3 linked regions of the Schizosaccharomyces pombe genome follow. Changing the gene in region 2 together with the main gene of any one other region gives a genetic interaction. Each region holds a gene or a part of one and is shown on either strand. Other genes may lie near its edges.

Region 1 (3,886 bases), 1.1 Mb from region 2:
TGTGCAATATTTTATTATAAATATTTTTGACATACTAAGCCCGGCAGGTCCGGACTCACAACTTCCCCCAGAACCACCAACACTACAAGTAGATCGTACACCACAACAACCTGACCCTCAAGAAACGTCTGAGTCCTTGCCCTCGCCTAATACTGAAGAGATGGGTGAATCCTATAATGATATTCGTTTCACTTATGATTACATTGATGGAAGGTTTTTGGAGACTGCGTGTGTCACGCTTATTGTGGTAGTTGTCGGACTGGTTTTAATGAGACGCCATCAACAGCATCGACTTCAAGAACGACGTGAGCGAATCATCCGTAGACAAAACCGCGCTTAATAAAAATTGTATCTTCGATTTTTTTGCGTTCTAATTTAAAATTTTGTTGCTCGATGGATGCAGAATAAAAAATATATGTATGTTAGGGTTCGTCGGTGATTAAATCATGCTTTGAATAAATTTTGTTTTTCATCTTTCAATTGGTTGATCTATATTTGTTGTCTGTCAGCCAATTAATCGACTTTTGTTGTTTGAATGTTAAATATCTCCAGAAAAAATTTAGAACCAGAAGGTTCAAAATCAAGAAATTTCAAATTAATGAGACATGTTATTGTATAATGCTAATAATTATATAAATTAAAGTCATAAACTCAGCCTGGAACGATTCATTGTTACATGTAAAGAATTTCGATACCAGCTCGGCGCAATTTGTATGTAAACGATTAAGGTACCTCTGTACGTTCAATTAGTATACCCTTGATTTTGGTGTAAGCTAGCTAAACATATTTAAGTTCGTACTAAAGGTTTTCTAACTAGTACGAACGAAAATTTTTTTAACAATAGTAAGGAGTCCTTTACGATTTCCAATCACCATTTTCTTCATCAAAAGACATCAAATGAACAGGAACACCAAACTGATTTAGAAACATACTCATTGTAAATTCAGTTCGTACTTCCTGAATTTGCCCTTTATTTTCACCTTCTTCAATACGAAAGGACTGAGTAACACCTCCAGCCAAACGAATACGTTCAGCCATTGGTTTAAAAAGTACTTCAGCGGCTTGCTGAGCAGCATTTTTCCATTTCTGTATCAACGTTTGCAAGTCTTTATCTTCATTTTTGGCTTCAACCTTTCGTGCAGTTTCGGCGGTTATGAGCTGCTCTTGTAAATTTCTGACTTCTTTTTCAAGTTTTAAACGACGAGAAAGCAACTGTGTGATTTCAGGGTCGGACTTTGGATTAAGGCAATTAGAGATAGGTGACTTGAAAAGTCGTTTTTGCCGTTTTATTGAATTAGGCGTTGTTCTTAAGGGAGAAGTAACAGGTTCTGAAGAAGTGTTTGTTTCATCAGAGTTAAGATTTGTTACAGCTAACGATGGTTTTAGATTAGTGTCTGCAACTTGAGGACTGGCAGTTTGTCTTAAGGGGCTTTTGAACGGCTTAAGAAGTATATTTTTGGCTTCTCGAGCCCTTTTCTTTGAAAAAGGTGTAGTAATTGGTAAAGAAGTATGTATTTTTGTATCTCGCAGGTCCGGCGTCAAAGCCTTCTCATTCTCTGGATGTACTGTTTCTGACTGCTCGATAAAACCTAGGTTATCTGAGTGATTGCCACTGTTATTGCATTTAGGAGGGTTTTCTATTCCTAACTGACCCTGTGAGTCACGTAAATCACTTTCGCTTAGGGAAACTTTCAAATCTTCTTTACACTGTGAAGTAGCATTTTCATTGAGTTCAGAGTTAATTGTTTGCGACATTTTCAGTTAAATCGTTTTAAAGTACTAATTCGAAGATGAAAGAGTGAATGTTAAATTATAACAAAGATGCAATGAAGCGCGTAACTTTTGTCAACAAACGCGTTGAGTGTAATAGTTGAATGTTTAAACTCTAACTTCAAATAATTAAATGAATTGAATATTAATTGTTATAGAAATGAAGAAATACCACAAATTCCAGATAAACGTTGAAAACGTTTTACTAGCAGAAGGTGAAAATAACAGCAAGCAACAAGAACTTAGGTAGAAGAAGACTGAAGCACATGACTGGTGGTTCCAAAAAATTAAATGTTTATACAAATTACGATAGTAATAAACTAAAAGGTTTATTAATTTACAAATTTGTTTTTTAACCTTTTTTAAACCGCGTAGGCTTTGTTAGAAGGTAATCTGGGAATACCACCTAACTCTACTGACAATACTAGGAGAAAAGATTTTGGTACCTACAGAAGGTAATATTTAAGATAAATAGATATCTTAAAAATTCACTTGCAATTCTCGATGAGTAAAAAAGAACATTGAAGGAAAGGACATTAAAATTGCTGGAGGATTTTGTTTAAAGTATCAAATTCATGCCGTCTTCGTATAAAATTTAGAGAACCGGTTTAAATATTATTTCATTAACCAAGTTGACGAAGAAATTACTTAAATTTTGAAAACTTGCTACAATCGTCATTGAGAGATTCAAGAGTTCGTATTTTTTTTTTACAATTGCAGAACAATGTCTATTGACTTTGATTGGTCAAAGTTAGACTCAGAATTAGAAGCAAAAGTTTTACATCTTCTCGAAGGACAAGTTTCGAATTTGTCGCTACCATCTTATATAAAGCATTTAAAGGTTGTTGACTTCCATTTCGGCAAAGTCTCACCTCAGATTACTATTCAAGAAATCGGCGATCCTGATCCCCAATTTTATGAAAATGAAGCTTTCGAATTAGCTAACCAAGAACTAGAGGGTGATCAATGCTCCCGCAATAATGTTTCACCAGTGCTTACGGATCTTCCACCTTACGCTGCTGAACATCCATTTTCAAGACTAGCATATTTTAATCCCGCATTTAATTCACCCGGGATTCTATCTGCAAGTGGACTCACAAGCCCAATTCCTGAAAGTCGCCCAAGTACTCCAATGGATAATCATCAAGAAAGAGATCGTTCTAACGATTTCCAAGTTACTGCACACGTATCTTATGACGGAGACGCAAATCTAAGCCTGGAAGCGGTTCTATCGATGAATTACCCGAACTCTGAATTTGCAGTTCTTCCATTCAAACTTTCATTTATTAGGATTTCCATCGATGCCATTGCTGTTTTGGCTAAAATGGGAAAGCGGACGCATCTATGCTTCGTTGATACATTGCTGCACGGAACTGGAGAGCATGCATCAAGTGTTATTCGAGATTTAACAGTGGAAAGTATTATTGGAGAATCTAATAAACAGCTGCTAAAAAATGTTGCTAAAGTCGAGAAATTTGTATCGGAAAAAGTTAAACGTATTATTGAGGATGAACTTGTCTGGCCTAGCTATATAACCATTGAATAATTCTTTACAATTATCCTAAATATATAAAAAATTTCCTTTAATCTCCTACTTAAAGGTTTAGGGATTTAGAAAATATTTTTGTCTATACATTGAGCTCTCTCATCTACCTCAACTTACGTTAATGAAACCATTTTCTCCTTCTCAAACCAATTTTGAAAAGGAACAACTTTGCTTTGGTGTATATCAACTTAAGGATTGCTACCAGCAAGTAATTGAGGCACTCTCGCTTGGTATTCGCGTAATTGATTCAGCAATTACATATCGAAATGAAAAAGAATGTGAACAAGCCATTCAAGATTTCTGCCATCAAAATGTGAATATTAAACGTGAAGATATCACCTTAATAACTAAGATTCCTGACTCCTTACAAGGATTTGAACGTACCTGGAAAGCGGTCGAACAGTCTCTTCGCAGAACAGGTCGTCCAAAGTTAGACGTCGTGCTAATACATTCACCAAAGTGGCCCGTACGCCGTATTGAGTCTTGGCGAGCACTATTGCAGCATCAAAAAGAAGGAAGGATAAACAAAATTGGAGTTTCCAACTATAATATTCATCATTTGGAAGAAAT
Region 2 (4,904 bases):
TTATTCCCTCCATTTGCTGACTCAGGAGGATTGGCCAACTTTAGAACGCAGGTCTTAATGTCTTTGAGCAAGTCCATTTTAACCGAATCGGGAATACTTTCAGTTGCAGACTGCAAGGCGCTCTCATATAGCTTTTGAAAATCAATTTTAGAATCGGAATTCACAATTCCCCGAGTGTAGTCACGTAATTGAGTTGTCCAACCGCAGGATTCAAGTTTGTATTCTAATTCATTTGCTAGCCTACATTTTTTAAATTGTTGTTTAGTTATAAAATTTTTTTTTTAAAAAAGAAAGCCTATCTTTTATACCTTTCATAATCTCCAGTTTCATATAGCTGCTCAACAATTTTCTCAGTGGTCATCTTTGTTGAAAATATGAGGTCGTACATTGCTACGCAGAAATATACCATTGCAGATGCAAACGAAATATTTAAACCAGCATTGAAAAGTAACCTTTATAATTAAATCATTTTTTAATTTAGGAGTTGAAAAATAAAATATTTGGATTTCATTCTGAATACGATATCTCAGGTAAGTAGTCAATAATAGTACAATATTATTAAAAGTGTAGCTTCTCTATTTTTTACTATAAACAAAAAAACTGACTATCAGTAATGCATTTTTTGACAGTTAATAAACTACAAAAATTCTTTGGAAATAATAGCTTTATTAAAAGTGAAACTTGAGATCATTAAATTCATCGTCTTCGTCATTATTGGTTTTAGGAGATAGTTCTTTAAATGAATTACTCGATTTTTTAGAAATTGATGATTTGCCGCTTTTGTCAGACGATGCTCCGGCAGGAATACTTTCTACTTTTGACATGAGTCTTGGTACAGGCTCTAAATCTGTATCATCTTGGTCAAACACTTCTGTTTTCTTATGCTCAGATAAAGAGAGAAAAGCTTGTAAAGGTGCTTTTTGTGAAGCTTTCTGTATGAAAAAGATTAGTCGAAATTTTCTTTATTATACCACATACCTTTTGAAATTTTTTAAAATTTTTACGGCCCGAATAATATTTTGAAGTATGCCTACTGTTAGCATTCGATTTCTCGGATGACATAATTCGAATATATTCGACAGATCCAAGGTTTCGTAAACGACGATTTTCCTCAAATGCTTTATCATCTTCAGATTCTTGGACATTCTCTGAAGGTAAACTATCTACCTCCGCATTGGCCTTTTTCTCACCGACAACATTAAGTTCTAATGGTTTGAACGGAGAAGAATTTCCTTTATCCACTGAATTATAGGAAACATACTCAACCTTGGTCTTCCCCTGACCACTGCCTGTGTTTGCCGATTTTTTTGAACTGGATTTTAAACTGTTTTTAGTTTTTTCACTATTATCACCCGATTTTTTATTTTGAGCTGAACCATTGTTTGATTGATTGCTTAAATAACCCTCAGGTTCTTTTCCAAACATTTGTTTAGGTTGTACGAAATCCATAATTGAAAGGTTTTCTAGCGTTTTTACTCGCTTGCTTTTTGGCGAACAAGGCAATGGCTTTTTTACAGAAAATAAATCATCAACGATGTTCTTTTGGATATGGCGTTGGGGTTGAATAATTTTTTGGGGGGTTGAATTAGAAGCAGTAGCATACTTTAACCTCTCAATTTCTTTTGAGATTAGTTCCCTTGAATTCCTTTCAATGATTATCTTCCATAGCTGCTCAATAGTTAAACAAAAGATACCTTCTGGGAAAGAAATCTTCTCAGAGTCATATACTGCGTTGTTTAATACAACGAAATCCGTTTTTGAAATCAATTCCTTGTCTATATCCCCAAGACTCATAAAGGTCGATATCCTCAAACCCAATAACTCCAATAAGTGGTGGGACTCACTCGACGTATTTAACATGGCGCAACTGAATCCTTCTAATGAATTTATGCAGTCTTCAGGAGATGACGGGAATTGATCGTTGTTCTTTATGATATTTTTAAAACATTCAAGCGCATCTGGCATTAGGCTGGCGTCTTCAATTACGGATTCTTTAACAGTTGATAGGTACTGAAGATAGCTATCATCTATAATTACAGTTTTTTTAAGAAAAGCATACATAGTTCCAACAGTTATACTGGACCCAGCTTGTCTGTTCATAACAAAGTGGGTAGTAGCATCGCTATCGCGTAGTCCAGTCGGTATACCTGAAAGTTGATAAGAAGTGAAAAAAAAAAAGACCGAAGTACCTAAGAGGTTTAAATTTGAAGCCCACTGGGATAACATTTCAGGGTTATCGAATTGTATACACATACTTCTCCAGTATGCACTTAAAGTTAGTAAATCATATATAGTCGATAAAACTTACTTTATCGTGAATGGACATTTACCCAGTTGTATTTTAAGATCTTTTTCTTTGTAAGAATCACCATTTTGACCAACAACTTTTTCATTAACCTTGGTTCCAAACTTCGTATCGAGGTCCTTTACTTCAAACTCGCATGGGCCACCGGTAAACTGTGCACATATTAGCTGGCATTGATTTAAAATATAAGAAAGATAAACATATAATAGAAATGAAAAATGAAAAGCTCAATATTTCCATTTAATTGGATACGTACGTAGTCTTTCTCACTTGGGGTCAAAATCGTAAAACGAGCATGGCGTTTACTAATTGATTTAGAAATCACTTGAATGTGGGACGAATCGTCTGCAATATTAGAAAATTAACAAAAATAAGAAACTTACCAGATACATTTCGACCTACAATATAAGTTCCTGGAAATAGTATCCGTGATTTTCCTGCTGTTTAGTACGTACAATACGGCCATAATGAAATTGATATAGCTAGTAAGAGATACCTTTTAGAATGTCACCCTCAGCCTCAATTATCCACATTTTTTCAACATAAAATTCTTTTTATTGAAAAAATTCAGAAACCAGAATGCTGTTTTCACAACTGAGGATGCATAGGTGCGTCGCTTTTAATTTTAGTACAATTGAAAGTAACAAAGTAACCCTTTATGATGTCCAAAAGCCCTTCGTTAAATTAGAAGCTAAATCTACTAAACCAATTCTTGAATTTGAATTGACAAAGCTTGCTTTTCAAAGCTTTCTTCAAGAAAAAGTTTAATCAACAAAAACTCTTAAAAAATTTATAATTTCAAAAAATTAGACTTACACAGGTTCTCTGTCCTAGCCTTGCAAACACAAAAAATACTGTGAGTACACTAGAAAATGAATTTACTAAAGGGGTAAACTATCGTACCAAAATGAAATTTTTAAAGTCATGAGCTTATGTGAGCAAACAAACTTCAATTAAATACTATTTATCATACGTCGTGTATATGCACTACTGGATAACTTCTTTTACAGTTTAAAAAAGTCCATGCCTCTTTAAATAACTAACTTTATTTCTAGTTTTTACTACATTCCTTTATTTTTTAATCAATGAATTATCTATTACCTATCCTAATAAGCAGAAGTATGAGTTAGCTGTAGTGTTTCATTTTCGCTAATTGATATTAGCCAGGAATCTCTCATCCTCGCTAAACCTCCCTACAGCTTAATCTTCCTTAAACCATTACCATACGAATTTGCTGGTTTCATATTCGCCGTTTGCAATTTCTATGTTGGTTGCAAACTATTCTAGTGATTCAGAAGAACAGGAGAATTCCCAATCGCCTAACATCCAACCTCTTCTGCATACTGAAAATTTAGCGCCAGCTGTGGTTGATAACGTATTTATCAAATGTTTTTTATAACATGCTAATCATTTTAGGTAAAGGATGATTTAATTGTTTCAAAGGGAGGAAACTCTAGAGAATTAGCGCGTAATGTCCCGGTTAATGAAATGGTGCAGCCTGCTTTAGGGCCTGCAAATCCATTTGTCACTAAAGAACAGGATTCTATAAAGAACAGTATTACCGGTTATGCTGAGAGGGAATATGTTCCAAATTTTGTATTTAATCAAGAATATTATGCTAATACACATGCTATTTATGGAAAACGAAATTTTGATGATAACGAAGCTACTACTTCTACAGATTTAAAAAGGAAGTCCCAGAAAATAAAAGAACGTAGAGAGGATCCTGGCGATCCATCTATCCTTGAAGGGGATGGTGCTTATAAGGGGCCATGGGCCGGATACGGTTCTGAACAATCCTCTTCACCTTTGGAGTACAGTGAATATGAAGAGGTTGAATCCCTGGATGTCAAAAGTGAAAAGGATACGGAATCTAATAACCTGGGTCAAAATGAATTATTGAAGGAACAATTAGCTACTCCAGAAGTTGAAACTCATCGCTCTAAAGAAGAGACTATACTTCATAAAGATAGATTATTTGATTATCAAAATAGAAGCTATATGCATGTCCCGAATGACGTCGGAATAAATTTATCGGAAGAGCCTGGTGAACAAACTTGTTACATTCCAAAGAAGCATATATTCACTTGGAAAGGTCATACGAAAGGTATTTCCTGCCTTAGGTTTTTTCCGATTAGTGGCCATTTACTTCTTTCTGGCTCAATGGATAATCAGATAAAGGTATGTTTGTAAGCAAAAAGATGATAAACTAATATTTAGATTTGGGAAGTTTACCATGACCGTTCTTTGCTTCGTACATTCCAAGGACACGCTCGTCCTATCCGCGATTTATCATTTAGCCAAGATGGACGATCATTCTTAAGTACTAGTTTTGATAAAACAATTAAACTCTGGGATACCGAATTAGGGAAATGTTTGAACTGCTTTAATTCAGATAGATTAACAAACTGCGTCAAATTCCAAGTAGATCCTGATAAACCCAACGAGTTTTTAGCAGGAACAGCTGACAAAAGGATCCTTCAATTTGATATCAGAAGTCCTGATATTGTTCAAGCATACGATCATCATCTCGGCGGAATCAATTCCATAACATTCCTTGAAAACGGAAAGCGCTTCGTTACCACATCTGATGACTCTT
Region 3 (4,117 bases), on a different chromosome or scaffold from region 2:
TTGCTGAGGGCAAAGGTTTCAGGGGCGCCTACGATAAACTTCAAGCTGTTTTCTGGCCCACTTTAAAGGTACACTTAATTTCTAAATTTTCTTTCTTAAATGGTTCTGTTGTATTGTTGCTAACATTTAAAGGCTAATTATATGGTCTGGCCCTTCTTTCAAACTGTGAACTTTTGGCTAATGCCCTTACAATACCAAATGCCATTTGCTTGTACGGTTGCTATTTTTTGGTATGTTGTTTCCAAGAGACATAAAGCATTTTTGCTCCTAGTTTTTTCGCCTTTGCTAATTTCAATTAGGAACATATTTCTTAGTTTGAAGAACGCTTCTTCAATGCAAGAATCTGGCTCACAAGAAATTGAACTATTTTAAAGATCTTTGATCCATCGTCCGAATCCACTGCTTTTCGTTTTTTGAGTTGTATCAGCCAGATTGTTTTTTGGCATATTATTACTTAGAAACGAGTTTTGTATACCATTATTAGCTTATATGATCAGAATTACCTCCTTAGACTAATTATTTTTACGTAAAAGTCATGCATTAAACAGATTTACTATTATTATAGCGTAGTATAGTTTTATCTACATGCGTCTTGCTTTTTTTAAGTTTTTTTTTTAGATTAATAACAATTACATGACTTCGTTTTCAACGCTTTTTCTTGCTTTCACCACCCTTATTTGAATCTCTTTTCCTTTTTGCTGATCCTTTGCTCTTTGTATCTACAGGTTTTTTGGGAGAAGAAGGGACTGGTTTAAAAAAGGAATCAAGACGACCCTGTGGAATTGTCTTTGAGGCTTTTTCTAGTCTATTGATCCCCAATTTAACACGATCTTCATTGAAACCTTTTTCCTTAACCAGAAATTGTATAATGCCATCTGCATCGGGACTTTTCCATTTCAACTCAATCTCTTCACCAGGAAGTACTTCTGCATCCAAAAACAGTCTTCTGGCATCTTCATAAGGCCAATCTTCCGGAATAGGATATTTTGATCGATCCGCCTCTTTGACAAAGCGATCGAGAGTCCCGTATTGCCTAATTAACTCGACGGCTCTAGCGGGGCCAACTCCCCGAATAGGTTCACAATAGTCACAACCCAAAAGAATACACAAGTCTACAAACTGCTCCACCGACATATCTAAACCATTCAATGCTTTTTCTATGTTATACTCACTAATTGGTTCCTTTCTTTGCTCACTAAATGTCAGGTGTCTCAAAAGTACAGGAGCTTGGAAGCACAATGTGTCCATGTCCTCAGAAGCAGCAGCATAAACTTTTCCTGAACGGGCTAAAGCGGCACATTGAGCTTCTGCTTCACAGGGTGCGTTAACGAAGGGAATTCCCATTAACTCTAGTAAACGTTTTGCTTCGTCATTATGTTGCCGAGTAACTTTGACCGTACGTTTGGCAAACCGATCCACCATTTCAGCTGTACCAACCTCTTTTGTCTCCTCTTGATCCTCTCGTGCTTTTTGATGTCGGGCCACACGTTTAGCTAATTCCCCTGACTTCAATGTTGGTGGTTTTCCATCAAAGACAAAGCAAGGCTTTATTCCATTATCGACAATTCGGAGTGTACGATAAAACATTCCCATTAAATGACTAGTAGTCTCGCCTTGTTCATTCATTAGCTGTTGACCATCTTGACTGCGAACTTGAATTAAAAATTGATAAAGACTCATTGACCTGTAATATACGAAATTAGCATTAATAAAGTACCTCAAGAAGACTTTATAAATCAACCCTTCGAAAAGGAAAGAATCAGTTGAATAGAGTTTGACCTATTAGTGTTTGCAACTTCAAGAACCAACAAAGTAAAGAAATGATGTAAAATACCTTGAGCAATGAATTTAACCGAGTCACTGTTAGTGAAAATTTATTCATCCTTTATTCTATATTTCGTTTGTATCATATCTTTGTCTCGAGTTAAGACATAGAGCTTTGCTCTTTAGCAATAAAAACTGTACACCATAGTGTTTAACCCATATTTACAAACAAAATCAGAAGCCATACAGTCTTTGCCAAGTCAACTGAGACTTTCGCTTTCTATTTAGTCTTTCAACTTACGCATCTATAGCCACTTTCCGTCCAAAATAATTTTTAATATCATTATGTTTGACACTGGCTGGGGCATGCTCGCTTAGTACTTGAGCCAAACCTAACCCAGATTAGTTTTAAGTAAAGGAGAGAGTAAAAGATAAACTCTTTAGCGTTAAATGTAACATACCTTTAATTCCCATCGTTTAGCAAATATACTTATTTATGTATATTACGAGATCCCGAACAACGCTTTCTCCAAAACTAGCTTAGAGCTTCTTATTAAATTTTCAATTTTTGCTAGATGTATTATACTCCTCAAAATCGAGCAGTTTTTACTTTGCTCACTCACACAAAGGTTCTTAGCTACCAGCAGTAGTATCCACGTCAAAGAGTCGATTCAGTAAATCACATGTTACTTTTCCATAAAGAATGATCGACCAAAGAATGTAAATACAAGGAAAGGGACCAGCCAATTTATACTGAAAATTCCCATGTATTATAGCTTTTAAAAAAGGATTTCTAGAAGGAACAAATTAGAAATTTTAAGATTACCAAATTGAGGTTCTTGTGGTTTTGGTGGCAGCACGGCTGTAAAATGTAAATCACCTCGCAGTTTACTACCACGAAAAGATCTCGAAAAGGTAATGTACCATCAGAAATTCTGGAAAAATGATCGATTCCTTTTTCCGGATAAGGAATAGGATGAAAAGTACATTGGAACTTTACCGAAACCCTATTGACTTGGCTAGATGTAAGTCTGTGTAACATAAGGTTGTTTTTATGAGAATAAACCAGTGGTTTTACGGTACTGAGATACCGTAGTGAGAAAGCCGCTTGAATTGCTCAACGTAATATTTTTAATAGAACAATAGCCTTGATTCATGGAACAATGTTGGATAATAGGCATTTTACCAAGAGAGTATTATTTGAAACTCGCCATATCTGCTACTGAATCGTCGAAAATATAATCGTAACCAGTTTATGGTATCGCTTGTGTAGTATGCAGACAACGAACAATATTGCAATATTCTACTAATAAGGTTCCTTTACCGACGTATTTCGTGCGGATCAAAACGTCATTCTGATCTTACGTTGGCAAATTCTAGTTAATGTCGGCTCGTTGAAAGAATATTATATGAGATGCTGCGCGCCTTGCTTACAGTATACTCATATCCCAGTGCAACCTCAATTTACCTGTGAAAGCAAGAACAATGTCTGAACAAAGCTCGCCATACTTAACATTGGCACCTGCCGATTACGAAGGAGAAGATGTCTCTAATGAAAAGGAAAAAAACAGTGTTATTCCTGATGTTATAGACTATTATAACAAAGGTAGACAATATTACCAATCGTTTGTGGTTTATAAAGCAACTGCTAATACCATTTTCCAATTTTCATATTTGTTGTATATATACATCGACCTCACTAAAGCTGATCAAACCGAAGTGTTACAATTTCTTAAAACATATGTTGAGGATGAATCGTTTGTTGGAGATGATTTTGTTATGCCAAAGTATACACTGGTTTTACCATATCGAGTGTATCGTGATCATGTAAAAAAACATGGAGATATTATAACGCCAAAGTGAAGTGCTAAATCTATTTTAATGTTTTCTTTTGTTTTTAAAGAACTTTCTGCTTGCATGAATCGCTCATTTTATAAGCAAATACCAGTTATATTGCTTCGCTTATTGTTATGATTTTTATGGATTCAAATCTAAAGAGAATTGCTAAATAGTGATTCATTAGTTAAGTTATTTATTTTTTAAAAAAAATAATAAATTCAACAAAATAAATGTAATCCTTTTTTTTTGGATCTTTTTTTCTGCTTCTTTGCTTTGCAAGTATTGAATTTTTTAAGTTTTTTGAATTTTGTAGCTTAGTAAATCGATCTGTAACCTTTTGAAAAAACAAACTTAAAAAAATACATGTTATAGTATGCACAGTGATATAATCAAAGTTGAACCTCTATTTGTTGATCCCAAATCGAGTTAAGGAAACATTCCTTAATATTACATTACTTTTCGAATTTACATTTGATTACAAAGAATGAATCTTGTTCATTGCAAAAAGGGTTCA

What was found. A genetic interaction does not mean that the proteins touch.
Region 1: of nbs1 (region 2) and sfr1, changing one enhances a phenotype caused by changing the other (phenotypic enhancement), as found in Schizosaccharomyces pombe (one study listed by BioGRID).
Region 3: mutations in nbs1 (region 2) and rad2 are lethal when combined (synthetic lethality), as found in Schizosaccharomyces pombe (3 studies listed by BioGRID).

What each region holds. Positions count from the first base shown.
Region 1 is NC_003423.3:1,578,557-1,582,442, reverse strand, and holds sfr1 (DNA recombination mediator Sfr1), read right to left. Parts: upstream 1,988-3,886; 5' UTR 1,756-1,987; coding exon 856-1,755; 3' UTR 563-855; downstream 1-562. Other genes in the region: hrd3 (HRD ubiquitin ligase complex subunit), read left to right, coding at 1-340; ERMES complex subunit, membrane tether and lipid transfer protein Mdm12, read left to right, coding at 2,495-3,316; SPOM_SPBC28F2.05C (xylose and arabinose reductase), read left to right, coding at 3,438-3,886. UniProt on the Schizosaccharomyces pombe protein: Involved in DNA recombination repair and meiotic chromosome segregation.
Region 2 is NC_003423.3:2,648,077-2,652,980, forward strand, and holds nbs1 (Mre11 complex BRCT domain subunit Nbs1), read right to left. Parts: upstream 2,902-4,904; 5' UTR 2,839-2,901; coding exon 2,802-2,838; intron 2,743-2,801; coding exon 2,689-2,742; exon of another isoform or gene 2,651-2,688; coding exon 2,562-2,650; exon of another isoform or gene 2,458-2,561; coding exon 2,309-2,457; exon of another isoform or gene 2,270-2,308; coding exon 2,190-2,269; exon of another isoform or gene 2,160-2,189; intron 2,148-2,159; coding exon 979-2,147; intron 933-978; coding exon 669-932; 3' UTR 501-668; downstream 1-500. Other genes in the region: SAGA complex deubiquitinating submodule subunit, TREX complex subunit Sus1, read right to left, coding at 1-240, 309-388; Prp19 complex WD repeat protein Prp17, read left to right, coding at 3,570-3,680, 3,722-4,486, 4,526-4,904. UniProt on the Schizosaccharomyces pombe protein: Component of the MRN complex, which plays a central role in double-strand break (DSB) repair, DNA recombination, maintenance of telomere integrity and meiosis.
Region 3 is NC_003424.3:5,389,024-5,393,140, forward strand, and holds rad2 (FEN-1 endonuclease Rad2), read right to left. Parts: upstream 2,400-4,117; 5' UTR 2,239-2,399; coding exon 2,226-2,238; intron 2,157-2,225; coding exon 2,066-2,156; exon of another isoform or gene 1,889-2,065; intron 1,881-1,888; exon of another isoform or gene 1,685-1,880; coding exon 646-1,684; 3' UTR 563-645; downstream 1-562. Other genes in the region: SPOM_SPAC3G6.05 (Mpv17/PMP22 family protein 1), read left to right, coding at 1-68, 133-230, 300-372; SPOM_SPAC3G6.07 (uncharacterized protein), read left to right, coding at 3,250-3,627. UniProt on the Schizosaccharomyces pombe protein: Structure-specific nuclease with 5'-flap endonuclease and 5'-3' exonuclease activities involved in DNA replication and repair.